Caenorhabditis elegans: one gene and its partners. The protein of the gene in region 1 interacts with the protein of each later gene in a pairwise test. Each region holds a gene or a part of one and is shown on either strand. Other genes may lie near its edges.

Evidence for each region.
Region 2: the proteins of mcm-6 (region 1) and F32D8.4 interact in a two-hybrid assay, tested with the Caenorhabditis elegans proteins (one large-scale study listed by BioGRID).
Region 3: the proteins of mcm-6 (region 1) and cya-1 interact in a two-hybrid assay, tested with the Caenorhabditis elegans proteins (one large-scale study listed by BioGRID).
Region 4: the proteins of mcm-6 (region 1) and T24D5.3 interact in a two-hybrid assay, tested with the Caenorhabditis elegans proteins (one large-scale study listed by BioGRID).

The regions. Positions count from the first base shown.
Region 1 is NC_003281.10:9,791,795-9,800,407, forward strand, and holds mcm-6 (DNA replication licensing factor mcm-6), read left to right. Parts: upstream 1-2,572; 5' UTR 2,573-2,573; coding exon 2,574-2,809; intron 2,810-2,858; coding exon 2,859-3,147; intron 3,148-3,194; coding exon 3,195-3,480; exon of another isoform or gene 3,481-3,501; coding exon of another isoform or gene 3,502-3,717; intron 3,718-3,759; coding exon of another isoform or gene 3,760-4,038; intron 4,039-4,095; coding exon of another isoform or gene 4,096-4,203; intron 4,204-4,248; coding exon of another isoform or gene 4,249-4,421; intron 4,422-4,476; coding exon of another isoform or gene 4,477-4,590; intron 4,591-4,636; coding exon of another isoform or gene 4,637-4,754; intron 4,755-5,029; exon of another isoform or gene 5,030-5,031; coding exon 5,032-6,475; intron 6,476-6,522; coding exon 6,523-6,700; 3' UTR 6,701-6,849; downstream 6,850-8,613. Other genes in the region: R10E11.9 (uncharacterized protein), read right to left, coding at 792-1,062, 1,261-1,350, 1,402-1,474, 1,707-1,764; srxa-10 (Serpentine receptor class XA 10), read right to left, coding at 3,502-3,717, 3,760-4,038, 4,096-4,203, 4,249-4,421, 4,477-4,590, 4,637-4,754; ZK632.2 (uncharacterized protein), read left to right, coding at 7,317-7,457, 7,513-7,629, 8,008-8,613.
Region 2 is NC_003283.11:10,890,155-10,896,516, reverse strand, and holds F32D8.4 (PIH1 N-terminal domain-containing protein), read left to right. Parts: upstream 1-2,956; coding exon 2,957-3,139; intron 3,140-3,184; coding exon 3,185-3,292; intron 3,293-3,338; coding exon 3,339-3,449; intron 3,450-3,496; coding exon 3,497-3,694; intron 3,695-3,746; coding exon 3,747-3,859; intron 3,860-4,637; coding exon 4,638-4,800; 3' UTR 4,801-4,920; downstream 4,921-6,362. Other genes in the region: F32D8.13 (Phosphomevalonate kinase), read left to right, coding at 1-130, 181-292, 339-635, 688-712; F32D8.5 (Transmembrane protein 70 homolog, mitochondrial), read right to left, coding at 719-955, 1,002-1,102, 1,156-1,264, 1,310-1,455, 1,500-1,590; F32D8.14 (Protein YIPF), read left to right, coding at 1,817-1,859, 1,905-1,985, 2,038-2,136, 2,199-2,761; F32D8.12 (D-lactate dehydrogenase (cytochrome)), read left to right, coding at 5,524-5,666, 6,327-6,362.
Region 3 is NC_003281.10:9,105,546-9,112,300, forward strand, and holds cya-1 (G2/mitotic-specific cyclin-A1), read right to left. Parts: upstream 3,728-6,755; 5' UTR 3,658-3,727; coding exon 3,634-3,657; intron 3,368-3,633; coding exon 3,053-3,367; intron 3,004-3,052; coding exon 2,884-3,003; intron 2,839-2,883; coding exon 2,402-2,838; intron 2,352-2,401; coding exon 2,169-2,351; intron 2,088-2,168; coding exon 1,709-2,087; 3' UTR 1,154-1,708; downstream 1-1,153. Other genes in the region: dos-1 (Delta and osm-11 homolog protein 1), read left to right, coding at 146-222, 992-1,062, 1,108-1,139. UniProt on the Caenorhabditis elegans protein: Involved in the control of the cell cycle after S phase. May bind to and activate cdk-1 and/or cdk-2 to promote cell cycle progression. Necessary for embryogenesis.
Region 4 is NC_003284.9:12,577,501-12,585,481, reverse strand, and holds T24D5.3 (RXT2_N domain-containing protein), read right to left. Parts: upstream 5,409-7,981; coding exon 5,398-5,408; intron 4,801-5,397; coding exon 4,684-4,800; intron 4,240-4,683; coding exon 4,195-4,239; intron 4,092-4,194; coding exon 4,035-4,091; intron 3,921-4,034; coding exon 3,870-3,920; intron 3,433-3,869; coding exon 3,376-3,432; intron 3,239-3,375; coding exon 3,185-3,238; intron 2,773-3,184; coding exon 2,666-2,772; intron 2,580-2,665; coding exon 2,269-2,579; 3' UTR 1,718-2,268; downstream 1-1,717. Other genes in the region: T24D5.2 (DUF38 domain-containing protein), read left to right, coding at 1-299, 732-868, 913-1,075.

The DNA of each region.
Region 1 (8,613 bases):
ATAAATTTTCATAAAATACAACACATTCATAGCTGAAAGGTGAGCACTAAAGTTTTGAAGCTTGGTTTCAATAATAAAAATTATACGCGCAATTCAAATTTCAAAATTTGAGTCGTAATTATATAACTCTCACAATATATTATAAAAAAAACTCTGAACGGGGTAAAAGAAAAGTGGTTCAATCAAATGAATTGGTTGAAATAAACATGTTTTTCTCCTAGTGCCTAATTCCAAAAGATCCAACCTCCCAGTCCCATTTTTATGGGCAATTGGAAAGAGAAAGAGCACACGTTTCTTGAATTGAATTACAAATATATACGAACCAACAGAAAAAGAGAGAGGTGGATGGATAGAAATGAGCAAACTGATGTTGACAATAGCTTCTGTGAAAGGTGTTGAAGGGGAGAAAATAGTTGTAAAATTGTGAAAAGAAATGTGAAAAATGAAGCAGGAAAGCAATTTGAGAAAATTGCAACGAGGTACCTGGGAAAGAAAATTGTTTAGAAAAACAAGGAGCTATTCGTTTTGGAGACTGAAAAATCAAAGAGCGACTTGGTAGGTAAACTAAAATATTTAGTTTACCTACCAAGTCGCTCTTTGATTTTGAAATATTTAGTTTACCGCAGAGAAAATTATTCTACATACATCTATTTTTGCATCACTTGCGTTTAAGTCTACAAATGGAATTTGAAATTTGTAAAATCCTTGAGGAAATATGGCACTTTCAAGGAAAATGAAAATCGGAACGTTTTAATTTTTCAAAAAAAAATCCAATTGAGCAGAATATATAATTATTGAAAATATTGATAATCCAGTTCTTGATCTCTAGCAGCTGCATAAGACCTTCTTTTATCAGTTTCCTCGTAGCTTCTTCGGAGTTCCCATTGAGTTCCAGAATCTATTGTTGAACTGCTAATTGTTTGAATTTGTGAGTCTTTCTTTGTTGGCTTCTTTTCTGGTTCAATATTTGAAGATTTCTTTTTTCTTCCAACGAATATCCAAGAAACACAACAACAGCAACATACAAGTAAGAGAAGAACAAGAAGAATTACTCCGATTATTCTGAAAAAAGTTTAGTTTTCAAGATGTTCCTGTTTAAGATGTTCCAAATTAAGAAATCCAAAATTTCATCCCCTTATAGGGATGTTCTGAGAGATGTCTCATTCTACTACAGATGCTCAAATGAAAACTTAAATTTCTTCTGTGGATTTATATGACTTAGATGTGGATCTAGTTAGAGCTACTTTACAAAAAGCTTACATGGGTTCTTGTCTAAATCTCCAACAACAGTTTTCCAAGAACTCTCCACAACATTCATAATATGTGAAGAAAGAAGCAGTTGGACACCTCCTAAACGAGAAAAACGGAATTATTTGCCAATTATAATATTCTCCAACTTACATTGGAGCAGGTCGTGGTGAGTTAAAATACCACGGTCGGCGGCAAATGACGTCATTGTATGATTGAGATTTAACTGAAACAATTCTTTGACAAGGTATTTTAATAAAATTCATCATATTTTCCAATAAACTTGAAGCTAGGTGAGAAATATGGCTTGTAGCACCGAGATCGTGTCGAGACCCACTCAGAAATCCAGCGTGCGCCTTTCAAAATTAAATGGAAATCTCTAAAAAATGTTTATAGGTGAATTTCATCATACTATAGCGCCTTTTGAACTTTGAACTTTTAAAATTGTCGAAACTCACCATTTGAGATCAGAGTTAGATTTAAAATCAAAACGAATAATTTAAAGAGAAAGTGCATACTTATCGATAAAGCAGTATAACACAACTTTTCTGTCGACAAAGCTTGGAAGTTGTAGTGTCCAGAAAGCAAACATACACATATTCTCGCATAAGTTTCCTCGGCCTGTTGCGCACGTCTGACTCATATTTATTCATTCTAAACATCGCCCGAATTTCTGAAATTCTAAGAAGTACAGTAACCCGAATGGTCTCAAGGTAACCTATCTCCCCTTGAAATTAATTCAAGTTTGAATGAGAATTTTGCATGTTTCAAATTTTTCGTGACTCTCAATAACTACTGATTCTTGAAGTCTACATTACAGGCTATTAAATTAGAAATCGTAGGCCCGATTTTTATCAAAGTACCGTACCGTGTGAGTTTCAAGGGAGGCACGTTTTTGGGAAATGGTCTTGCGACGACATGGCAAGAATTGTTATTTTTTAAAGCGCCTTTTTCTGTTTTTGATTTTTCCCAATAAGTTTTTTATTTTATTCATAAAATATATCTTTTACATCTGAAAAAGCAAGTTTCTGAATGACAATGAATTTCTGTCGAAATTCAAATTCACAGCCGCACAGTTTTCGCGCCTAATTTGTCTGCGTCTCTTTACCGCGCACACTGTTTCGTCTACAACACTCCAGTGTTTCGGTACGCAGGTTGCCGCCAAAATTGAGTTTTGAATTTTAGGTGTCTTATTTCTCGTCGTTTTCCCGCATTCTCATTGTTTTCCTCTTCAGATTGCACCGACTTCCTGAATTTCTAGTTCTCTTTCTTACTTTTTCGATTAAGAAAGTTGCCTTAATTCTTTTTAAATCAATTCTTTCAGCATGGACAACATTATCGGCGGTCAAGCCCAGCAAGTGGAGGACACCGACGGAACTCGTGTGCAGAACGAGTTTTCCAAGTTTTTGAAGAGCTTCAAAGACCAGAAAAATGAGTTTATCTACAAATCTGCGATGAAGGAGCTCGTGCAACCAGAAAAGAATACCATTTTCATTAACATGCAACATCTCTACAAGTTCAGTAACAATCTCGCAACAACTATCGAGCTGCAATACTACAGGTAAATTAAATTCGATTAGTATTTTCGAATACTTATAAATATACTTCAGGGTCTATCCATTCATGTGCGAAGCTCTACACTTGGCCACTTTAGATGCTTGTGATGAAAGTGAGAGACAGCAAATGTTCAAGAAGCAATTGTACGTTTCGCTGTTCAATCTCGATGCGAAAACGAAAGTTCGTGAGCTTTCTGCGGACAAAGTCGGAGGCCTCGTGCGCATTGCCGGTCAGATTGTCCGAACTCACCCAGTGCATCCAGAACTTTCACGGGCTTGTTTCGTGTGTGAGGATTGCGGTGTTACCACACGTGATGTTCAACAGCAGTTCAGATACACTCAGGTATGCGGAGATAATAATTAGCTTATAACGAATTCAAATGTTTTCAGCCAACTAAATGTGCTAATCCTCAATGCATGAATCGTACCAGATTCAGTCTCGATGTCAACTCATCTACTTTCGTCGACTTCCAGAAGATTAGAATTCAGGAGACTCAAGCAGAGTTGCCTCGTGGATCAATTCCACGTACTGTCGATGTGATTGTTCGAGGAGAAATGGTTGAAACTGTCCAACCAGGAGATAAATGTGACATTGTTGGAACTCTTATCGTCATTCCAGATATTGCTCAATTGAGCACTCCTGGACTTCGTGCTGAGACTTCAAATCAGAACAGAGGTAAACAATTTTATTCGAAACTCATTTCTTAGTGGAAGTAGTTGTCGCAGATACCTTGATTGTCTTCTTTTTCGCTGGTTTCATACAGAAAACTCTTTCTCGAACAAAATCCATATAGATTTTTCTGGTAACAGGGGTAAAAATGAAGTATACTAGAAATACATGGCATGGCACCTGAGCTAGTCGAAAATAAGTGAATGCGAGCTTTCCGTCAAGCGAAAGATTTCCAAAGAGTTCCTGAAAACTTGCATAGTAAACGCTATTTCGTTGAATTTATACCGGAACAACTCGTAGAACAAGACTTGTTAGCTCATATACAGAAAGATAGAAAGCAGTGATAAAAGCTTGAATCATAAGCATTCGTTCAGTCTTCTTTTTCGCTTTTAAAACATCCGAAGGCATTGATGTAAACTGATCTCCATTCCCACGTCGGAACATATTTTTGATCTTTGTATATGTTGGTGATCTTTGAAGTTTGAAGTTTATAATAACTAGCACATTGAAAAAGAATGCTACGAACGGAAAGAATACAGAGTAATAATTGGAGAACGTTGTGATCTACAAATTAAATTATTAATTTTTGTAACACAGATATCATCCGTAGATCTACTTTACCTGATGCCTGTCTGGTGCACATTCAGATATGAATCCAACTTTTCGTATATCATAATTTATCCGACACTCACTCAGATAGGGAATAATAAGACATGCGAAATTGGCAGTCTGAAGAATAAATGTATCATTTGAAATCTTAGCATTTCAAGATACCATATGAAATGAAGTATAGAGCCATATTTTGCTAGAAGTGAAAAGCTGAGATGCCTGCATACTCACAACTACTGCTATTCGATTAATAGTCATCAGAATAAGTGTGAGCATTGGATGAAGATAATTGAACGTTACACCCACCGAAATCATAGCTCCTATTGAATCCCGATATGCTGAAAATATAGATTAGAAAATATATCCTTCCTCATGTGTCCGGACAGTTATTACTTTTATATGTTTTATCGGACATGTAATAGGGGAGTATGTAGACCATTATTCCGAATATGACTAGAAGTGCGTTAGAAATTGCCATGTTATAGATGTATGTGGCTGGTAGAGCATCTGAAATGAGATTTTTAAAAAAATAAAATCCCGAATTTTTCGTAACTGTTTTTAGAAGTTTTTATTGCCAGTGATAAAGTAATACAGTAGAATAAATTGAACACCGAACATGTCTCGTAAACCCATAGAGCAATACGCTTAACAACGGCAGCATCCACATCCATTTGTAGAAAAAAGAAACACACCAGCAGGTTGAATAATGTAGGAACCAATGGTTGGGTAGTATTCTTTTGGAAGATGTGATTATATGGACTCCTCGTTTCTCGATAATGTGGTGATTTTGATTTTATTAGCATCTAGTATTCGAACAATTATGGTCACGTGGAACGAGGAAGTAGAATTGATTTTCAGTGACTAGTGATTCCTATGGTTTCATAAATTTAAATATATATTTTAAGAAAAAAAACTAGCGAGACTCAACAATAATCTGATTTTTTACAGGCAGAGCGACCGATAAAAGCGAAGGAATCACTGGATTGAAAGCTCTTGGAGTCCGTGATCTTACCTATAAAATGGCATTCTTGGCTTGTCATATTCAACAAACCGAGAGTCTTGTTGGTGGAGATGCTTCGGGAGCTGTTGAGGAGACTGATTATCTTGATTTATGGTCGAAAATGTCAACAGAAGATCGTGCAACACTGAAGAAAATGAGTGACGATAAGAAAATCGAGAAGAACATTGTCGATTCACTTTTCCCGAACATTTATGGAAACCACGAAGTTAAGCTTGGAGTTCTTCTGATGCTTCTTGGAGGTGTCGCGAAGAAGAGCAGGGACGAAGGAACTTCACTGAGAGGTGATATCAACGTTTGTCTTGTTGGAGATCCATCAACTGCCAAGTCGCAAGTTCTGAAAGCTGTGGAAGAGTTCAGTCCAAGAGCTATTTACACTTCTGGAAAAGCATCTTCAGCTGCTGGTCTGACTGCTGCTGTTGTAAAAGACGAGGAATCGTTCGAGTTTGTCATTGAAGCTGGAGCTCTCATGCTTGCCGACAATGGAGTTTGTTGTATTGATGAGTTCGACAAAATGGACCTCAAGGATCAGGTTGCCATTCACGAGGCAATGGAACAACAAACCATTTCCATCACCAAAGCTGGAGTCAAAGCAACATTGAATGCCCGTGCATCAATTCTTGCCGCTGCAAATCCAGTTAATGGACGTTATGATAGAAGTCGTCCGTTGAAGTATAATGTCCAGATGTCAGCTCCGATTATGTCACGTTTCGATCTTTTCTTTGTGTTGGTCGATGAGTGCAATGAAGTTACTGATTACGCTATTGCCCGTCGGATCCTTGATAATCATCGTGCGATCAGTGAGCATACTGAACGTGACAGTGTTTACAAAATTGATGATATCAAGAAGTATATCGCGTTTGCTCGTTGCTTCAAGCCGAAGATTTCGGATAAAGCTGCTGAAACTCTTGTTCGAGAGTACAAGAAACTTCGTATGTCTGACAGCAACAATGCAGCCACGTCATCATGGAGAATCACTGTTCGTCAATTGGAGTCTCTCGTTCGTCTGTCTGAGGCTCTTGCTCGTCTTCACTGTGGAAAGGAAGTACTGGTGGAACATGTCGAAAAGGCTGCCGAACTTCTCAACAAGTCTATCGTCAGAGTTGAGCAACCAGACATTGCTTTGGATGATGACGACTTTGACAACAATATCATGGTTGTTGAAGCAGACAAAGAGAATCAAAGAGGAGATGATAGTATGGATCATGATGGAGAGAAGGAAAATGCTCCGAAGATTGATATAGCAAAGCTCAAAATCTCATTCAAGGAATACAAGCAATTGTCTGATGTTCTCGTTTTACATATGCGATCCGATGAAGACAATCAAGGAGAAGACGAGTATGATGGTGTCAAGCAGAGTGCACTTGTTGAATGGTTTGTTTAAATATTCAAATATTTAAATTTAAATTTCTGGTTTTTAGGTACTTGTCGACAATCGAAGCAGATTTGGAGACGGAGGAAGACTTCAACGTACAAAAGACTATTTGCGAGCGTGTAATTCATCGTCTCATTCACCAGGATCACGTTCTTCTTGAAGTTGAGCAAGGAGAAGATCCAACTCTCTGTGTTCATCCGAACTATGTTATTGCCGACGAATAATTGAAATAATTGCTTCCCGTGTGTATTGATCTCTTATCCAGGCTCTTTTACCGTTTATCATTATTTTTATCATCATCATCAACTCACTAATTTGCAATTAACTTGAGTATGACTATCACCGGAACTTTTGTGAATGAATTTTCATCAATATTTCCAAACTATTGCTATGTGTTCAAAGTGAAAAATGTATGGGCTGCGGCCTAGTTTCATTGACGGCCATGTACTTCTCGTGGACAACTTTCGCAAACCGAATCTTTTAGTTATCCAGATGTAAAATATTGGGATTTCTGTGCCAAAAACACGGTACCTAGTCTCGAAACGATAAATGTTTGTTAAATGAAAACGGATGTGCGCCTTTAAAGAGTACTGTAATTTACAGATTCATATTTTTTTGTTTTTTTTCTCCCGTTTTTCGATAATTCATGTTTTTAATGTTATTCTTGAGCTTGCTAATGAATAATCTTATTTTTATTTTAAAAAAACGATGAAAATCCCTTTAATTTAAAATTACAGTATTCTATAATGGTGCACATCATTTTTTCCTCAAACCTTTTTCGTGCGGAGACCGGCTACCGTATTTTTAGCTCAGAAATCAAATAATAAATATTTCAGCGTAATGTCTGAATCAGACGGAGCCTTCAAATCACCAAGTTTACCTCCATCTCATCATGCTCCGGCTCCAATGTCGCCTGAAAAAATTCGAGCTCCCGCTGAACAGATGGACGGTCCAGTTGAAGGAGTTATTGATGAAATTGAGGTTTGAAAAATATTTATTGATTATATATATATTGAAATAATCATTTTTCTTTCAGACTGCGGAAGTTCAAGCTGAAAAAGAATCGAAAATTTCAGTGCAAGCACCAGCTCTACACTATGAAGTGCCTCCTTGGGCTTGTGAACCGGATCCAGCTCATAAATTTCAGTTTGAGGTACATATTACCCAGACGCGAAATTTTGCACAAAAAATTCGGTACCCGGTCTCGACACGAAAATTTTTTGTTAAATGTAACAACGTCTGCTCCTTTAAAGTACTGTAGTTTTTTTTTCGATATGAATTAAATTAATTTATTAAAAAACCTGAATATGCAAATATATTACATTTCAATTTTGACAAATCGAGAGAAAAACTATGAAAATTCGGTGAAAATTAAGCAGCAATGAAAATTTGAAATTACAGTACTCTTTAAAGGCGCACATATTCTCGCATTTAACAAAAATTGTAGTGTTAGGACCAGAAACCGTAATTTTAATGCTAATTTTCTCAATTTTTCTGTTGATACAAAATAAAATAAAAACAATTTTTTCAGATTCTGAAAGAAGGAAAATTAATTGCTTCGTATGATTTGTCAAATCGAAAGAATTCAACGTTCGTAGTTATCGGAAGAATCAAGCCAGGATGTGATCTTTTAATGGAACATCCATCAATTTCAAGATATCACTGTATTTTACAATATGGAAATGATAAAATGTCAAAAACTGGAAAAGGATGGCATATTTTTGAATTGGGAAGTACCCATGGAAGCCGTATGAATAAAAAACGATTACCACCGAAACAATACATCAGAACCAGAGTTGGATTCATTTTTCAGTTTGGAGAAAGTACTCGAATATTGAATTTTGTTGGGCCTGAAGAGGATTCAGAGCCGGAATGGGATTGTTCACCAACTGAAATGAAGTTAAGAAAACACAAAAAAGAATTGGAAGCAAAATTGAGAGCCGCTGCAGCACAAGAAATGATTGACGATGAAAAACGTGAAAAAGAAGAAGAAGGATGTGGATGGGGAATGGATTATGGAGAAGATGAGAAACCATTGACTACTGTTGAAACTGATGCACATTTGATGGAGGATCGAGAAGCTTATTATAATCAGGATCCAAAAAAGGCGTTGCAGAAGTTTTTTGAACGGGAAGGA
Region 2 (6,362 bases), on another chromosome or scaffold:
TCCGGTAAACGAAAATCTGGAAAAGATTACTGTACAAACTTGATCAGAGAAGTATTGGTGCAAAAGCGATTTGATGTTTCAGTTGCGGGTATTTCACATAGCCTGAAAATGGAATTTGCTAAGAAACATGGTGCTTTGTTTGAAAGTAGAGTTTGATCATTCGAAAATAGGATTTTTCAGGTTTAAAGTATGAAGAACTTCTAACTGACGGGCCATACAAAGAGCTGTATAGAAAAGATATGATCCAGTGGGGAGAAGAAGCGAGATGTAAAGATTCCGGATTGTTTTGCAGGTTGTTGGAAACTTGAAATTGTATTTGACAAATTATAGTATTTAAGAGCGGCGATCAGTTCAACAATGGACAGCGACATAGTTATTATATCCGACTGCCGACGAAGGACAGACTATGAATATTTCAGTGCCAACTACAGAACTGTAACGATTCGAATCGAGACAAGTGAAGAGGATAGAAAACAACGAGGCTACCAATTTGTCGAAGGTGTCGATGATGCCGAATCTGAATGTGGACTTGACGACTACAAATTCAACTTAGTTATCAAAAATCAAAGCGGAACAGATTTATCTCAACAACTAAATATGGTTACTGAAAAGATTTCCCGAATCATTGATAAATTGTAAGAAAATCTTTCAATTATTGAACAATAACGATAAAAAACAACTGAATAGAAAGCTACCTATCAACAAGGAATAAAAATTCTCAATCGTGATTTGGTGGAATGTGAACATTTTTTGTGAGGTCATCAAATGCCAATTTGTCAAGATATGCATTTCGATCAAGGGAAATGAGAAGCGGCCGCTTGCCCACAAAAGCTGTTGCCAGAGGGATCCATACTTTCTTCATTTCGGGAGCTACGGCTGCATCGACAACTTCAGAAGCTGAGAATCTCAATGCTTGTTTTTGCATTAAGAAATTGTAATGAACAGTTGTGAACACCTGTTAAAATGTTTTTGAAATGGATTAGAAAATGGTCATGCACTACCTTTTTGTCATTATTGTAAAATATGTCGATGGGAAATCGTTTTGCAAGAAAATGAAGTAGTAGCGGAGTGAAAGATAGCAGGACGAGGAAGGTGTTGGCCACTGAAAATAATGAAATTTGAAATAATCCGTTCTTCAATAGAGATAATTCTTACCAATTGCAAACATCATCATCGAAGGTCTTTCAGCAGCTGCTTCCCACAAATAGGAGGATAGCACGGGAACCATGACTACTCCGGCAAGAGATGAAGACAGTGACAGAATCTGAATTTTTGATTAAGACAAAAGAACATGCTCCGTTGAACGAACTTTAGCTCCTTTCACACCCATCGCGACTACATCATGAGGAGTTTTTTGTGATCCGGGAGGTAATGTTCCCTTGTGGATTAGAATGGAGTGTCCCAAGTCATCTTTATCAATCTTTGACAATGGTAGAACTTCGACGTTGCCTGAAACTCAGATGGAAACAATAATTTGAAATTTGAAATAAATCGCTTACACTTTGACGTTGTTCCAAGACTTCTTACACATTTTTGAAAGTTCGATGAGCTGATTCTAATCGGGCGGAGCAATGCATATAATGAAGACATAATTTATTGATACTACCAAGAAGCTAAGTGTTGAAATTTATTAAAAGCAGGTTCAGCGCAGGAAGATTTCACTCAAGATTAAGTTGTCCAAGAGGAGTACACGGACCAGAGTTCGTTCAAACATTTCTAGGCCGCGACACAAGTGCGCTCTACTGCTTCACTGTTACAACGAAAAATCTCTTCATTTGCCACATCATTTCAATAAATTTTTGATTATACTCTCAATATGTCGAATGGATTTTGGATGGATGATGGACAACAACAACAGGGTATTTTTATTTAAAGTATAATGTTTATAGTTTTATAATTTTCAGGAGGATGGAACACTCAAACAAATCAACAAGACATGGGTTGGGGTCAATTTGATTACTCGCAGCCACAACAGCCACCGCAGCGTGAGATTTATTTGTAATTAAACAAATTTCTTGAATATCATTTCACCTTCAGAAGCTGGAAACGACTACTATCAACAAAATCAACAATATCAACAACCACAAACCAATTATTATGGAGGACAAATGTTCATGCCAAACAACGGGACGGGAGGTACATATATATTTATATCAATTCTTCATTCTGAAATGCATTTTTAATTCTACAATTTTCAGCAATTCCAAACGCCGGTGTTGCTGCTGATGGCGAAGACTATGAAAATGAGCCACCACTCTTGGAAGAACTCGGAATTAACTTCTCACATATCAAGGAGAAAACTATTGCTGTTTTAAATCCAACTGGATCTGCAACTGTCGAAGTTATTGCTGATCAAGATCTTGCTGGACCTCTCGTCTTCTGTCTTCTTTTTGGAGCCGCTCTTCTTCTTCACGGCAAACTCTCGTTTGGATTTATCTATGGAGTTGGCGGACTTGGATGCGTTGGAATTTATGCCCTCATGAATCTCATGGCAACGGACGAGAAAAATATTTCCTTCACCTGCACCGCATCAGTTCTTGGATATTGTCTACTTCCAATGGCTCTTCTGAGCATTGTTACAGCTGTATTATCATTCAAGGGCATTATCGGGTATATTATATCGTCGCTTGCTGTCCTTTGGTGTTCTTCTGCTTCATCAAAATTGTTTGTAATCGCTTTGTCAATGGATCACCAACGTCTTCTCGTTGCATATCCGTGTGTTCTTCTCTACTCTGTTTTCGCCCTTCTTGCCATTTTCTAACGTCGTGTCTTCTTGTGAATAGTTTAAATACTTGAGTAATTTATTATCATTATTTATGAGTATAGTGCCTCAATTAATTCATTATCATAAACTATTTTTTGTCATTGATCCTGATCTTGATTTACAAACTTAATGTTAAAACTCGTTTGCATACTTTTTGGTTTCGTATATCTGGAAATACTGAAATTGTTTCAGATGGATCTTAAAATTGAAAAAAAGGAGGAAGCGGAAACGTGGCTCATCAAACCACTTCCAGGTTATGTGTGTAAATGGAAGGATGTAAAAATCAATGGAATTGTAAACGATGAATACCGAAAGTGTTTTGTAAATGTATGCCATTGCGAGCAATTACCGCCACCAATCGACGATTTTGATCAAGTAGGTATTTTGAAATTATTTCCGTAATATCAACTATTTTTAAAGGATGAAATTGCTGCTCAATTAGATGCTGGAAATCCGTCATTTCGAATTCCGATGAGTGTTGGCGAAATTGACTGCGTGAAAGATCATAGTGATGAAAATTCGATCAAGGTAGTTTAATTATAAATGTTTGATTGTTAGTATGAAATGTTTTTAGATTGATGTTTTGGTAAACAGCACATTCTATAAAAAACGACTAGCGTCTCCAAATGACGCATTCTTCCGTCATCTCCTTTGTCTAATTTTCTGCGATCTTGTGAAGGATAGAGTCAGTTGAAATTTTATCAATTGAAATAACATAATTCTTAAATTCAGCACTCCATTGACTTAGACCCATTGAAACCAATCGTTCTTCGCAATCGTGTTTCAGTTGGAGAACTTGAAGTACAAAAAATTCACAAAAAACCAGAAAAACAGATTGTCGAAGAAATGTATCAGGAAGATAAAGTTAGAATGGAGAAAGAAGAAAAAAAGCAAGTTGGAAATGATGATGTTGCTGAAATGAAAAATGAGGTTAGTTATTTTTGTTGCAACAATAATTTTAACTTTAAAATGTCTCCTTTAGATGTTTGGCCTGAAACACATTGATGGAACAAGAATACGACTTTTTGATGGTGACAGACTCGAAATCAGTATGCGATGTGAACTTAATGGCGAACCAATCAAAGATCCTAGAAGGTGGGTACATTATTTTAAATTCAGTTGAAATATAAACAATCAAAATGCGAGTTGAGTTTTCAAAAAGTGTGAACACATAATTAAAATCATCGATTTTTCTTTCAATTTCAAATGTTGACTATGGCCAGTGGGGAAATGATTGAAATCCATCCCTATTATGCTAAAATGTCGAAATTTCATAATAAATTAAAAAAAAACATTTTGACAAATTTTTATTTTTTTATTTTATTTTAAAAAAAAATCTAAATTACTGTCGGATGTTTGAACCCTATAATGTAATAATATGAATATTTTGAACATAATTAAAACATAAAATTGGAAGACAAATTGTTTAATCGACTTTCAGAAAATTCGTGAAAATTGAGTTTTTGACTCGAAATAAACATATTTCCAAAATTTTTCCAACAGTTATATTTATTTCGCAGTTTTAGCACCGCAGGAATGGTGTTTAATCATTTCCCCACAGGCCGTAACATTAAAAAAAATGTATCGTAATTTAATTTCTACCCGATGATAAATAATTTTCCAAAATCGTCTAGAATTTCTCAAGATTCTCAAAAACACAGACTTCATTATTATCTATATTAGTTTTACGTGCAAGACTTATTATTGATAAGTTTGTAGGTGTGAAAAACTGTATAAAAGTTTTTAATCCATAAGAGGCTACAAAGCTAATTTCCAATTTGTACGTAAAGAAGCAGAAGCAAAAAATACCTGATTTTGAAAAACCTAAAATTGATAACTTGAAAGCTTTTTTTAAAAGCTTAATATTTTTCAGACTAGAACTCCAACTCAACCCCACTCGATGCTTGGTAACGTTGGATAAAAGTCGCAGCCTTTATGATTTCGGACTCCCATTTCACATCAATCCGTCCACAGCCAAATCCAAATTCAACCACGAAAAATTCACACTAGTGGTTTCAGCAAACATTCTGTTGTGATACTGTAATCTCGCGTTTCTTCTAGATCTCTATTGTTGAATGCCGTTGTTTTTCTACTTGTTGATTTTGTTCCCAGTTTTGGAATTTTTCAGATTTGTTTTACTGATTAAAATTTAAAAAAAAATCTATATTATTGCTTTTGAAAATCGCCGAATAGATATAATCAACTAAAATAAGATCCAGAGCGTTTCGATCCTAAAAAACATCACATGCATATTGCGACTTTTTGAAGTTCAAACAACGAAACAGTCAATAAAATATCCTATGAAAACAAAAATTAACCATTTTTGATGTTTTTTGCCCGTGCAGAATCCTATTTCGAAGTAAATTATTTTCAAAGTAAGAAAGCGGACTAATTCACAACTCAATAAATGCAAAGTTATTTCTATTTTTCTGAAGGTTTCTAAACAAGAAAAAGCTTATTTTAACGTATTTCTTCTCTAATTCTCCATTTTCGTCTTCATCACGTAGAAACCAACACTATTTTCAATGTTTCTCATCCTGCGTCTTCCATCTCGATGTTTCATGTCAATGTTTCATTGAACTTATTGGTTTGCCCGTTTTCTGTGTTACATCAGAGTCCAGTTCTTCAACTACGATCAACCCATCACGTATGACATAGAGGAAGATAAGATGGTTTTTAGCCGAATTCTATCACTTTTAACCTCTTGTTCATTTGTATTTTCTTTCATTTCTTTCATTTTCATTCACATTATTTAGAAAATGCGGCGAGTCTTCAGTTCTCAAGCAATTCAAACGGCAATTGAGAAATCTTTGCCAGATCTTCAAAAAATTGTTGGAAACTCTTCTGTTCGGACACAAGAATCTGTAAGAAGGCAATTTGCACGAGATGAAAGTCATTTTATGTGAGTTTTGAACGGAACAATTAGATTATTGGCCAACTCCTTACAACTTCAACAATTGACTACTTTCAAAAGTTTAAAGGTGTCGCAATTTAACATTTTTCTGAAACGCCTACTGTAAAATTTCTATTCTGAACAATTTTTCTTTATATTTTTAGTTGGCATTTTTTTTAAATAAAGGAATGAGCGATTCCCGAAATTTTTTAATGCAGTGAGACCCATCTTAAAAAATCGGTGCCTTAGTACGCGCAACAAAAATTTTGTGATTAAAAAAAAACTTTAAAAATTAGATAACAACAGTTGTTTACATTACTTTTGGAAGGATTCTCATTATTTTCCACCAAAAACATGATACCTCTTACTAGCACGAATATCCTATCTCAACTTGCAAAGACTATAAATCATTTCGGAAATTTTTTTTATTTATTTAGTTACTACTTATTGAGCTTATCCAGATAATCTTGGTCTATATTTTTATCACCAAAAATCACATATTGAAGATCAACATTTTTTTCCAAATTGAATATTGAACTACAAAAATAGCTACAGAACACTTTTGAATAGTGCCCGGCATTATAATATTTTAAAAATAGACTGTGCAACTGATTGTCCAATAATATACTCTAGGAAATAACACTTCATTTCGATGATACAAAATTTCAGTGCACCACCACCAGCAGTTGTCCTGGAGCCTACAAA
Region 3 (6,755 bases), 690 kb from region 1:
TACGGTCATTGTACAACAAAACATTTATGGTAATCGAGAAAAAAAGACTGAAAACCACTGTTTACGGTATCTGAAAAGTTTCAACCGTGCCGGGACCCAAAATCAAATCAAGCCAGCTATTAAATATTAATACATGATTTTCCAGTGTGAATACGAATACCATCGGATGCAAAAATGGTGTAAACCGCCACGAATTGAAGAGAGATTCAAATACTTTTGCAGGTATAACATCTTTTCCAATTTTTCTTTAAACCCATCTCTATCATTATCATCTTATGACTTTGAAAGATTGGGAAGAGAAAACGAAAGAAATCGCAAAAGACGCACCCCAATCTTTCAAAGTCTTTTTTCTTTTTCTTATCGAATAGCGTTATCATTGGCCTCGAAACTGTTTGGTTTCTAGAGGGAAAGGACAATTTAAAAATGACGGGGATATCTTTGAAAACTAATTTGAACATTTTTGAGACGCAAGAATACGGTAACACGACATTTTTGTTTTATTTAAAAAGATTTGCACCTTTGAATGGTACTGTAAGTTCATTTTTCATAGTTTTCCGATAACAATATGTTTTCTGATTCAAAAACTTAAATATAACAATAAAAGCTCATAATTTTAAACAATTTATGAGAATACTCTGAAAATTCGATGGAAAATTCGCAAATACACAGTTTTGCGATTACAGTACCCTTTAAAGACGCGCTCCTTTTTGCATTTAACAAAAGTTGTCGTGTATCACAAAATTTCGCGTTTGGGTAATGTGCTGTGCCTTTAAAAAATACAGTAGTCTCTATTTTTCATTTAACACTTTGCATTTAAAATTTTAGTGTAAATGAAATCCTAAAAATTGGGATGCAGCAATAACTTGGGAATTACTGTATTTATTAAAGGCGCACGCTATTTTTTGCAATTTACTTTTTAAATTGTCGAGTCGAGACAAGCTACCGTATACTTATCAAAAATTTAATTAATTCGATTAAGTGTTTTTTTCAGAATCTGGTACATGTCTTGTTCTACATATATCGAGGAGCTTGATCCAGAAATGGCAGACGCTTTTGTTTCTCGTAAGTTTCAATTTTCAGATTCATTGAATGATTTTCCAATTCCAGAATACGCCAACTACGGGAACTATCACGGTTAAACTATTTGTTTTTTTTTATTTAAAAGATTTATTTGACAAAGAAGGTATCTTCTAACATTTGGAAAGCACAATAAATAATATAAAATTTCAGTTGATATCATGATTATAAAAATTTTTAGATTTACATTTTGAAAAAGAGAAACGAAAGAACGATGGGGAGAGCAACTACGAGATGAGATCGTGGAACAAATATAAAACAATGAGCGCAGTGCGTAAATTACGGCTCGGAACAAAAAGGAATCATAGATCATAGTTGCCAAGCCAGGAGTATCATAAATAAATAAGAAAACTGGAGAAAAAGCTGTAAAACAGCCAGATAAGGGGGTGGATGGAGAGCACTGATAATACTATTACATATAACACAAAAAAGGAATTTTTAATATCGGATCATATCCGTGTATGTTCCGATTCCTGTCGGGATGAGTTATACAAATACAAAGAATTGTTACATAAAATCGTAGTTTTAAAAGGAGAATTTTAGAAGATGTAATCGATAAAGGCAAACAAAGACAGGGAATGAAATTGAAAGTCGGGAAATTTGGAGAATTCAAGAATATAACATGGATTATTTACTGGGGACTACTACTATCGTTGGAAGATTTTGGAGCGGTGACAAAGATCGATGGGAACATCGATCGAAGCTTGTCAGTAGGTGCCGGTAACAGGGCCACTTCCATTTGTGCAGTCTCCGAGTAATTGTAGAATATTGACTTGAAATCTGCCGTTGATGCATTCAGGTACATCCTGTGAAGATCCCTCAGCACGTCCACAAAATCTTCCGTACTGATTCCCGTGTCGTCAACCATTTTTTGTGGCCAGGATTCAACGTCAGCCTGGAGATTTGCAAAGCAGCAAGCCGCAGCTGCAATATCGGATGGGCGGTAACGTAGAAAATGGACATCTATCAGCGACAACTCGAGGAGATAATGAACAGTATTCCGCATCTTTCTGTAATAAAATAACGTTTAAAATTGAGAAAGATCGCTAATTTTTTTCACAGGAGCTAAAAATGATGATATTAAAACTCACTTTGTAAAGTTCATTCTCTTGGCAAAACATGTTCCGAACCAAGATGATGTGGGCATTGCAACAACGAAGTCAAACTTTCCGAGCAAGAATCGCTCCATTAAAAGAATGTCGGGAACTCGGTAGGTGTTGTCAGTGATGAGAGCAAAGTCTTCAATCTCTGGCGGAAAGATTTCCTCGTATTTCCTGAAATTTGAGATTCACATTCAATTGAAATATTTTATTTAAAAACATACACTGCGATCATCATCGACGTCGTTCCAACCAATTGAAATCGCATTTTATCAATGTTGAACATTGAAAGAGCCCGATCAACGAGGCTCACAGCGAGATGAAATGTTTCCTTTTGGAAATTGTACTCTTTCACGACATCGCTGAACCAATCGATGAGAATTGTTCGCATCTCTTCATTAACTTGTGATTGTATGTCAAAGCATTCGTGTGAAGCTCGATTCTTCGTTTGACGGTGTAACATGTACTTGATAATGTCAGGGAAAAATTCTTCAGAACTGAACATTGAATCATCACGAGCTTCCTTCGCTGCTTTCTTTTGAATCTTCTTCACAGCTTCTTCTTTTCCAAATTCCTTTTTGCGCTGATTTTCATCAAAATGGAATGATGAGAAGGTTGCACGGACGCTTGTGGTGAAGGTTGAAGAGGCGACGGAGACTTTCTGAAAGAAAAGTTCAATTTTCTGATATTATTTTCTTGGTCTCACATCACAATCGTCGTCATCACATAAAACAGAGAATTCTGAAGGTGGTTCTGAGAATCTTGAGGTGATATCACTATTGTCTCGAGTCTGCATGAACTTGAACTTCAGTTTTTCTGCACGACTCTGCAAAAAATTGTATATAAACAATTACAATTTTGAGTTCAAATCTAACCTTTTCTTCCATCTTTCGTTCCAATTCGTGTATCATATTGTTATCCTCAGCAGGTATTACGTTAGAATCTTTCTCCGTTGCATCAACATTTTCAGAAGAATTCTCTTTCTCTGGCTCCTGATCCTCAAATACTTTAAAACTGTCTTTTGCATCTATTTTGATAATTGGTGATTCATCTATTTTCTTGCTTGGTAGAGCTTGTTGAAGCAAATTACTGGTTCCAATTTGACGTGTCAATTTTCCTCCCAATGGTGCATTTTTGATCACGTTCTTGTTGTTCACTGCTTGACTTTTCGCCGCGTTTCCGTTGCTCGGCTGAAATATAGGTTTAATTATTAATTATATATAAAAAACATAATTTTAAAGGAATCGAATTCATTTTGACTGTTAAAAAACCAGCGTCTCACGCACTCACCACTTACCAATTTTTATCAGAAATCGGAAAAAATTGTTTCCACCAGCTCGGTAAAGTTGAGCTCGAAAAATGCGGAAAATTTGAAAAAAGATCGCGAATAAATAAATGTAACTAATTTGACAGTCGCATTGTAAATATATTTTTTACAATTTCAGAAAATACTTACCTTCAAACTAAGTGCCGACCGCATACTCGTCGCGATCTGCTGCTCTCAAAAGCGCTTGATAATTGGTCCCTAGGCGCGTGCGCTGTGTCGGAATCTGTAAAAAAGAGATTTAATTTCAAAATCAAGGAAACAGGCGAAGGAATAAACACGTGACAGCGAAGAATGAGGCAAGGGAAAAGGTAAATAACAAAATAGAATAAATCTAATGATTTTTTTTTTAATTCCTTAACTGAAATTAAGTTTCAAATAATGAAAAATGGTATGACTGGAGAAAGAAAACCAATTAGAGAAAGAGAGACTAATCGATATGTTGCGGAAAGGTGCTCAATGCGTACGGTTATGCAAGGGACCATTCAAGGCAGGACAGACGGTGAAGAGAGATAGAGAGAGGAGGGGTCACTGTTGCTAGCAGTTTCCCATCTAATGCTTCAGATGGCATGCTCTTTGTTCCAGATGGGACAACATTTAGATTGGTAAATTGTCTTGAATAACGTGTAACGGCATACATATAAGGATTAGATCGAGCAGGCAATATGTAATATCTGTTCGGCGATCTTCATTTTGGAGAAAGACCACCTGTTGCTCTCTCTTATTACTGGCTCCGAGCAATGTGAATGACAGAGAGAAATAATGCAAAATTTGCTTCAATGTTTGTTGGATCAATATCAAAAGTTATATGAACTAGTAGGTAAAGTGTGGTGTTGGTGTGTGGAAAGCAATGGTGACCTCCCTCGATGGGGGGGGAAACGTTCAACGCAATCCATTACGCAACCCGGCCTTTGGTAATATGACGAGATGTATATAGGCTCTTAAGCGGTCCTACTGAACTGATCGATAGAAAAATGGAAGAAACGTATGGAGCCAAACATGGCTTGTTGGTGCTCTGCTCTTATTGTTTTTTATGACACATCGGCACACATTAGACTTTAGAATCCGCGTGGGACCTGCAAACAAGGTAAACATTGAAACTCATCTAGCAGTAATATGTCTCTCACTAGGGTTTTAATGTTCTATAACCTTGAGAAAGTTTTGTGAATTCGCGAGCTTAATTTTTTAAAAATATTCCAAAAATACGGAACTTCAAAAGAATGTCATAGAGTCAGGAATCTCGACGTTCACAACATCAAAAAGGGTGGAAAGTTGGAGAAAATAACGGTTGAGATATTAACCTGAGATTAGACATCGAAATCGCCTTGCTTCGTCACGCTTACCCTGTAGAAATTGGCATTGACGATTTTGCCAAGGTTGCGCGCCACTTGACTAATTAGTGGTATTCTAGGCGCCATCGATAGTTTCCCAGAGAGTTTGCACCATTTGTAAACATTTACGCGCCGGCGGGAAGAAGAAGGAAAAAATAAAATGAAGAGATTGTTATCAGTGTGGAGCGGGTCGAGCAAGACGATGATAAAAATTACTATAAATTTGGAGAATGTGGCACAATTGCTTTAGATTCTAAGCCTCTGGACGCTAACGGAATCGCACACCTGGAATCACTCCGGCCAGCGGAGCGCACTTGCACACCCCCGCTTTTCTCACTGGTTTTACTCCAGCTTGTATTCTTTAAGGGTGCCTTCATAAGGAACGTTCGATTTTCATCGAATTTACAAAAAAAAACTTCACAAAGAAAGAAACAAAAAAATTAATAAAAATTTTGGAACTTTTTTTTTCAATTTTGGGACCTGACGTCTAAGCCTTTTATCAGAGCTTTTTGAGGGGCTAAAAGTTGTCAAAAAATAAGTTTTATCCGGAAAAAAAAAAAGAAAAGTGAAACTTTAACAAAAAAAAAAAAGAAACACCCTACATAGAATCGAACCAAATAGTGTTTCTACCAAACGGAGCGCACTACCCACTGCGCCAACTGAACACAGATTTTCACACCATTCTTGGTGAAGAAGGAGAGCCGCTGCAGCGCGCTGTAGTTTGAGAAAAGCGGGGGTGTGCAAGTGCGCTCCACTGGCCGGAGTGATTCCAGGTGTGTAATTCGGTAATCCAAGCCTCTGGAAATTTGTTCTTTTTCAGTTTTTTTTCGGCAAGTAAGTATATAGTAAGGCGCGAAAAGTTTTTTTTTTGAATTATTATACTTGTACCTAGTGAGTTGAGGTGCGAGAAAGGGAAAGAAAGAATGAATGTTTGCCCTCTCTGATATGATACATAAAAGGAACGACGCCGATGAGACTCGATGGCTAATGAGAGGACCTTTTCTGAAATGATCGAAGTGAACCTATTCAGCGTGCGAAAAACACTTTAATTTTCAAATCGGATAGCATTCTTCGAGGAGAATAAACTTTTCTGCAAATAATAATAATAATATCTGAATAATCGAAGTCGATCTAGGAAAATATCCGAGAAATTCAAATTTTGAAGCTCAGAAATTTACTTTCAAAGGAAAATAGATAAACGTGCAGTGCCAGGCGGTACGGGCAACTGGAGATCTAAAGAGGAGGTGAACGAACGATTTGTCCTCTCATGTGTCAAAGAAATTCAATCATTTTTGAAACTTCGCGCGGGAACACATACGAATTTAAAAGGAAACGGGAAGCGTCTGAAAATCTAGAAATGTTGCTTTAAAAACTTCAAATCGTCAAATAAATGCACGGAAGAAGTGAAAAACGTATGCAAATGTGCCAAGAAAATTAAATCGAAAAAGAAAAACAGAACACAAGAGTCGCTTCGAATGAATGGTGGCTGAAAAAGTTTCTGGAAAAAACAAATTTGTGAATTAATGGGCGGAGTTTTGAGCAACAAAAACGGGAGATAAGTAAAAACCTGGCACATTTTTATTGAAAAACTTTATAAAATAAAATAAATAAATTTTGTTGTTTTATAAATTTTGTTAAACAAAACTTGTGTTGCATAACTAAAAGAAAAAAAAACCCGCCAATTTCTTCGCGAGTTTTGAAAGCCACGATAAAAATTCAACAAAATTTGAGTTTAAGCAAATGCGCTCTGTTGAAAAAGTCTACCAGCGGGAGTTTGAAAAATATAAAAATACATTGATTCGACTGTCGATTTTCAATTTAATCTCTAAAAAAGAATTTTGAAGACAATTTAATTTTAGAATGTAAAACTTAAAGTAAAATGTTGACTAAACACAGAAGTTTCAAAGAGTTATTTGTTCCTTG
Region 4 (7,981 bases), on another chromosome or scaffold:
TGGATCTATCAAAGTGTGTAAGTACAATTACCGCCGAAAACCTTACTGTTGTCATGGATTCTTTCCCGAACATCATTGAGATTGTGAAGCTTCATCGTCCAATGCTCAATAAGTTCACCCTAATGTGCTCCGGCGAGTACGGAAATATCATGGAACTAGAGCAAGTGCGCAATGCTGCCAACCTGAAACTAGACGGACTTTCAAAGATTACTGATGATCAGCTCAATTCCATCACTGCCACAAATTTTGAGATCACTTCTAATATAATCACTGATCAAGGAATCAATAGATTCATTAAGGTAATGCGGGAATTCATAGAGCAACTTGATTAGTTAGACACAATCAGCAATGCAACTTATTTTCTATAATCTTCATGATATCGCTTGTCAGTGTTATAATTTTGAGAAAGATGATTGATTTAATTAATTAAAAAATTCTCATGAATAATACCAAATACTTTTTTACTTAGGATACTTAGTCGATCCGTTCTTTGCCTACGGCCTGGAGCACAGTTTTCCAAGCTTTTCGGTTCTTTGCTTTTTAGTGTTTATAGAAAAAAGAACTATCCGATCAACATTTATTTTGTATAGAAATACAACTAATTGAACGAAAATCTTCTTCTTTCAAAATGTTAATGATTCTAGATCAAATTAGACACAAGCAACAAAAAAACTCCCAGAACCATTAGTCCTCTTTTAAGTGAAACGAAATAACTGTAATTTGATTTCTAGGCGCGTCTTGCTGATGATATTCCGGACAACTACTTCGCATCAGTGGGATGTCGGCACGGAAACTGGAAGATGAAGGAAGTGCTCAGTGGCTTGAAGTACACCGCATATGACGACGAGATGGCATATGTCCGCAAGAAGTAAATTTTCCAGTACATTTTTCATCTAATAGTGACGTTTTCAGTGGAATGATTCCAATCAACGTCTTTGAAGCTGATTTGGTAAGCTTGCCAACCACTAAACCAAATGAACGATTGGTAGTGATTATCAACAAATATTACTTTGAATGCTTCAAGGAGTCCATGAAGCCAGATCTTCTCGTCCATGATACCACCCAGTTGCCATAAAATCTTTGATCTCTTAACCAAATATCATTAGAACAAATTTTTACGTTCATTAGCCGTAGTGTTTGAAACTTGAGATTAATTTCTAAGTGCTAAACTTTTTTCTAAAGTAATCAAATTTCCATATTTCGAACTCATTCTAGTGGTAATGCAAAACTGGAATTCAAACATTCATTACAACTAGAATGCCTCCAGTACCGTTAGGAGTTCTCTTAACATGCCAATTCACTATTTTTGTTTAAAGTTTACAAGCTGTCTGTCTTCCGTTCTTGAAACTCCCATTTCCCTGACCAAATGGCATAACCTGAAAACCCTGCTTACATAACGATCTATCCCTGATTTTTTTACTTTTAAATGTTCCATCCATTTGTCTTAATCATAATCATAATTTTCCCACTGCAATTTTTACTCCTTATCCGTGCTTCTTTTTTCTTGAGACATTTTCAAATTAGTCATGTGTAGTAAAACCCCCAATATCAAACCATAACACTGTGAAACCCTCTGGAATAATGAATACGAAAGTAGTAGCAAGGTTGCCGTGTAGTCCTGTCCCTTCTCCTTTTGTCTTGTTTGTAATTTGCAGCTGCAGATCTGAAGTTTATGAAATCAATAAATCTGAATATATAAAGTAATAGTTGTTTCTGTTTATTAGAAAACAACAGTTATGATTTGGGAGATAGAATATAAAAAATGTGAAAAAGAGTGAAGATATTATACTTGTAAATGTTAAAGGACAACAGTAAGAAAAAATGAAAGAAAATTGAAACGTTCGGAGCCAACTTGAACAAATAAAATGAGAAAGAAATTAAGCGGACCGAAAAGGGAAGAAACCATATTTGAGCTTGAAATTGGAGTTGGACGATTTTAATCAAACGGAACGTGAACAAACTCCGATGGTTCAATTGAGGTCGTGAATCAAGTATGAGATAAATTGGTCCGTTCAGAAAACAATAGATCTGAATAATGAAATTGCGGCCAGGGAAGAAGAAAACAATGGAAACGGTAGAAGGGAAAGGATGTTTTTCGGGAAAAGAGAACATCTGAGCAAGAGAATAAGAGATTTAATGACGGGAAAAAAGAGATTAAAAGTATCAACAATATTACATAGTAATGAGGATAGTATCAACAAACAACAACAATTTTAAATTCTAAAAATTTAAATAGGATAATCGGGAATGTCAAAACCGATTTGGAATCTAGAAACACAGTTCAGCCTTCATCGCAGCCTCTAGAGCGGCAAAATCCGCGGCATTCAACTGCCGAAATTTATTCTCCAAATGAAGAACAATAGTGAGAAGGACTGGATTATTTTCCTTCTTCAGTTTATTTTCCAAAACATTGTATAAATAAACTTTGAGTTTATCATCCTGCTCAAGCTGACCACGCCGAGCCTCGATAAATTCTTCAGCGATCAAAAGATCCTCAGCAATTTCTGCTCGCTTGAGAGATGCTCGGTCCCACACTTGGGCGGGCAGGCTTTTGAAAATTTCGTTAGCGTGTTGTTCCCCTGTAAAAATTAAAGTGACTATTAAAAACAGGGCAATGTGTGAAATATTTATAAACAGAAAATGTATTTATCAAATTCAAACCTACCATTTTCACAACCTGAGAGATATTTCAATTGTTGCATGAGAAATTTCAGATTGGCTTTGATACGGCCAATGTGAAACTCTTCCGGCTGTTCAGGAAGTGTTTGTTTGCTGCAATTAAAACCTTTTTAACACTAAAAACAATAATAGGCAAAAATGTGATTTATCAGAAGAAAATCATTCTAAGTAGGCTTGATAACTTCAATTTTAACATTTTAAAAATTTTTCCTTAATTTCGACTCTGGAAAAGTATGTATGTATATTCTTCATTAGCACTTTGCTACCGCTAGTCCTAATTTGAAAACGGCTAATTCTAAGGAAATTATGGGAAAAATTGTCTTAATTTCAAAAAAAAAGTAATTAAATTCGAATAAGATCGTGAAATTTTTTTGAATTTTATTTTCATTTTGAAGAATTAAAAAATTTAAGCATAACCCGAAGAAGCCAAATTCAAAAGTTCGCGTTTCTGTTGAAAGAATATTGAAATTTAATTTTTAAAATTGTATTAAACTTTTCGACTTACACTGGCAATTGGCAGTTTTCCTCGTTTTCCCAGATTTCGATTCCATATTTACAGCTAAAAATTGACTTTTTTGTCTTTTTCGTTCTTTTCATGTTTAAATCAAAAATGTTCGTTGTCGTATTTGAAAATAAAATTTTTTATTCGTTCCAGTACTATTTGTAAACGTGAAACTTAAAACCGATTCGTATTACCTGTCCTCCGCATCTGAAGAATCACTGAGTTGACTGATGTCTGGTTGGAGTATCACCCTAAAATGTTGTAAAATTAGAATAAAACCTTGATAATAAAATTATTTCACGCGCTCTAAATTTTCTAAATGTTTACCCCAACAGGCCTTCAGAAAGTTAGTGCTGCACCCCTTTTTTATTGCGAGAGTCATCTCAACAGTTTCGAAATTTTGGGTAATGTTTTTGTTTATTTTGTTTTTGATTACTTTTAATTTATAAACATAATTGAAGTATCATTTATTTTTGCTACACAAATTCACACTCCTTATGAATTTGTGTTTAAAATATGAGATTTTGTGACTAAAAGCTAGCGATCTCCAATTGACAAAGGGGTGCGAAAATTAGTGCTGCAGCCTCCAGTAGTACTGAAGTCTATAATAGTGCTGCATTCAAAAAGTTTCTGGAATTTAGTGCTGCATCGCAGCACGTATAGAGAATATACGGTAATAAACGCTTACTTGGAGACCGGGTTCTTTTGCTTCTGGACTGACGATTTGAACGAATTGTAACTGCAAATATATAAATTGGATAATATGACAAACGGATTTAGTTTCGGTTTAGGATTTAGTATAATTCAAATAAAAATTTTTTTAACCCAAAAAAAAAAAAAAAATTCTACTCACCTGTTTCCAGTTTCCAAAAAGACATCACGTTGGTTGACGTCTGGTTTGAGCACGACTCTAAAAATTTAGAAAATTAAACTTTTAAAAATTTTGATATGTTTAATTAATTCAAACATTACTTCTGTTAAGAAAAAATTTGATATATGTAATAAACACTTACTTGGAGTCCACGTTCTTTTTTTTCTGGGGTGACGATTTGAACAACCTGAAATTGCAATTATAATATATAAATGAACAGTATTACAAACGAATACAATGCCAAAATAATTTAATGACTGTAATAAAACTTTTCAAAACAAATTCGAAACTTTTTTATTTCGAACCGACAAGTAGTGGAAACTGAGTGTGTCGAAAACTTTAAAGCAGTGTCGCAGACAATATTGAAGTATGAATGTTTCAAAACTACCTAGAACGTGAAACTGGAAGAAAACACATTTTTTGATTGACGACTTCTAAAAAATAGTGCAAACTGAGATTTCTCCGTTTTTTTACTTGAAATAATACCAATTTTTTTTTGAAAATGCTTTCGTGATCTTTGATCATTTTAGCTCGATTTAAATAACTTTTAATCATATCCCCACAAGCCGTAGTCCACTTTTAAAGAAATCAGTATGAAGCGCTTTTTTCATTTTTTAACCTAAGGACTTACATGTATTCGGCATTCTTTTTCTGGATATTTTCGATCTCAAATAGTTCATCAAGCTCGTAGAGCCAGTTGTTTGATTTTCTCCTTTTTGCTAGCTCATCGTGTTCGTCGTTTTTATTTCTGAAAATAACTTTTATTTAATGTTGCATTCAAAACAATTATATTTCAAATGTAAGATGTATATATGTTGGATACTTTTAAAAAAATTGAAAATGTAAAATGGGAACTACTTTTTTTCAATGTTGGTTGTGACACCAAACATTTAAAAAACAAATGGAGCCCCTCCCCGAAAAATTATTTTGAATGAAATTAAGATAATATGTGTATTGAGTTGGTCCCAAAAACCCATACATAAAAACCCATATACTGGCGTGGTCCATTTTGAATGTTAAAAAAGAAACGAGTTTCCTCAAACCATCAGTTACTGGAAAACAATTTCTGAATTTATTTTCAAATATTCCCTTTTTTAGAGTAGTAAAGACTTATTAAACTTTTAAATTTTATAAACTAAAACTATGCCAACTTACATACAGTTAAAACTCCGTTTCAAATATTTCTTATTTAACTAGATTCAATAGCTTAGAAAATAGCCGAGTTTCCTGTCTGAGAACAAAAGCATATTAAAAGCAACAATTATTCGTTGCATTAGTTTTTTTTAATTTTCAAAATGTTTGCAACGTTGAAATCACCTAGGATAAAAAATTTATGAAAACTAACCGCTTGGGCATGTTGATTGTTTCCAACAAAAAAAATTGACGATGAAGTTTTCTGAAAAAAATTATTCTTGCCAGAATGTTTACAGAAACATAAATTAATTTTTAAAGGGATGATTTCGTACAGAAACAGAAGTGGAATCATACCAGCGGCAATAACAGAGTCACTTAAACCGAGTAAATGCAGTTTTGAATGAATTTCTTTGCTCCGTTCGAACAGCCGATATAAGTTACTTCCATACAAAAACTAGTAGCGAGAAATGTCTGTTAATTTGTCCTGAATCACAATTAAAGTAAAAAAAAAAGACAAAATAAAGATGAGCGACATGGTTTATGTTGATCAGTTAGTGTGCTAGAGATAGAGTGGGAGAGAGATAGAGAGAAAGTGTTATGGGCATGGGCGCAGCAACAGTTGAAGGAAGGAGGCCTGAGAGGAGAGGGGCTCACAGTAACGAAAGCGGATGCACCAATCAATGAATATGTTTACATTACTGGAATGGTGAACGCGCGTATCCGAAAGGTGGTAAATCAAATTACATATCTCGTTAGTGAGATGGTTATTGTTCGTAAAAAAAGAGTTCTCAAAAAGTCTTAACCACAAGGTCATAGTTACTTGGGGATCTAAAAAAAAGTATAGTAGAAAATATGTATGAAAATCAACAGTGTGTACATTCAGCCTTTATTCTTGATTTATCTTGATTTGAAAATATTTTCATTTGACAAAAAAGGCCAAGGAAATAAATGCATAAATATATGAATACATTTGTCAGAGCACAACATTGCAATTTATAACCATAATTTTCTCAAATCAAGTTGCCTGCTTTTTGGGAAACATAAAAGAATTTGAATTAGTGTTATTACGTAGTCTTACAAAAATCCGAGGACGAAAGCCAATGTTTTGAAAACAAAACAATTTGTTGCCAAAAAAGTAAGCCGGTAAAACGGAAAAACTGTGGAGAAACATTTTTAAAAAAAAGTATTTCATATGCTGCAACTTTGGTAAAACCAAAAATGACAAAAGTACTAACTGATAAAGTGAAGCGATAGAGCTATGAGACAAGTTGGAAAAATACGGTAAATTTGTATTTCGCAATAAAAAATTAGATAGCTTCCTGAAGTTGTTCAAAATAAAAGTCTCAAAAACTTTGGATGTCGATTTTTCAATTGTTCCTTTTGTTTTTTCTTGTTTACCTTGAAACTCTCAAATTCCTGAAATTAGGGGTGGCTATAGGTCGACCTAGGTCGACCTGCGACCTAGAGGGTTAGGTCGCGTCGCGACCTAGGTCGCATTGCGACCTGCGACCTAGCGACCTGCGACCTAGCGACCTGCGACCTAGCGACCTAGGTCGCATTGCGACCTGAATTACCGACATTTTGTTCTCTTTCGGTTTTGCTTCACTTGAGTTGTTAAAATCCGTATAACTCGAAAACTAAAGATTGCAGAATATGTATACTAACAAATTGCTACAAATCATTGAAACCCATAAGTACCATAGTTTTCAAGTTGAAACAATTTTAGTCAGCAGCAAATCCGGCCTATGTCGGCTGTTCTAACTTTTTTCGACAAGGTGTCTTATGGATAAGAAATCGAAAACAATGTAAAATAAATGATTTGTAGCAATTTGTTAGTATACATATTCTGCAATCTTATGTAGTTTTCGAGTTATACAGATTTTAACAACTCAAGTGAATCAAAACCGAAAGGGCACAAAATGTCAGTACTTCAGGTCGCAAAGCGACCCAGGTCGCTAGGTCGCAGGTCGCAAAGCGACCTAGGTCGCTAGGTCGCAGGTCGCAAAGCGACCTAGGTCGCTAGGTCGCAGGTCGCAATGCGACCCAGGTCGCTAGCTCGCAGGTCGCAAAGCGACCTAGGTCGCTAGGTCGCAGGTCGCAAAGCGACCTAGGTCGCTAGGTCGCAGGTCGCAATGCGACCTAGGTCGCTAGGTCGCAGGTCGCAAAGCGACCTAGGTCGCTAGGTCGCAGGTCGCAATGCGACCTAGGTCGCGATGCGACCTAAATGAAAACAGCGACCTAGCGACCTAGGTCGCACTCTTGCCACCCCTACCTGAAATCCATAAATCTGAATATATCGAATCAATGTTTTTATGGAAGAACAATAAGTTTAAATCAAACATGCACAAATACAAAATCGGGGAAGCCACGTTGAGAAAAAATTGAATGGGAATGAAAATCAGAGAATACATAAAATGTCAGTTTAGTACAAGAACACTGTAAGTTTTGAGCAACACATTACATGCAAAGTATGAACGGGATGAAGATATCATAAATGAAATGATTTACGGGTAACGTTGAAAAAAAAACATACATGAAGAGGTCAGAGTTTTGAGCCAGCCGGAGCAATTGGGATGAGACAAGAATCAAGTGGAAATTGAAAAAGATCAAAACAAAAAAACAATCAGTTTCGTGCACGAAAATTGTTTGAATGAACTTGTATAATTAATCAAACTGTGTAAAATATTGCAACAAAATAGAAACGGGGCGAAGTTATCATAATTGGAAAGGTTGATAGACAAAAGTAAGGAATCGAAGACGGAAAATTAAGAAATTAAAGCAAATCGGAGCTGCAA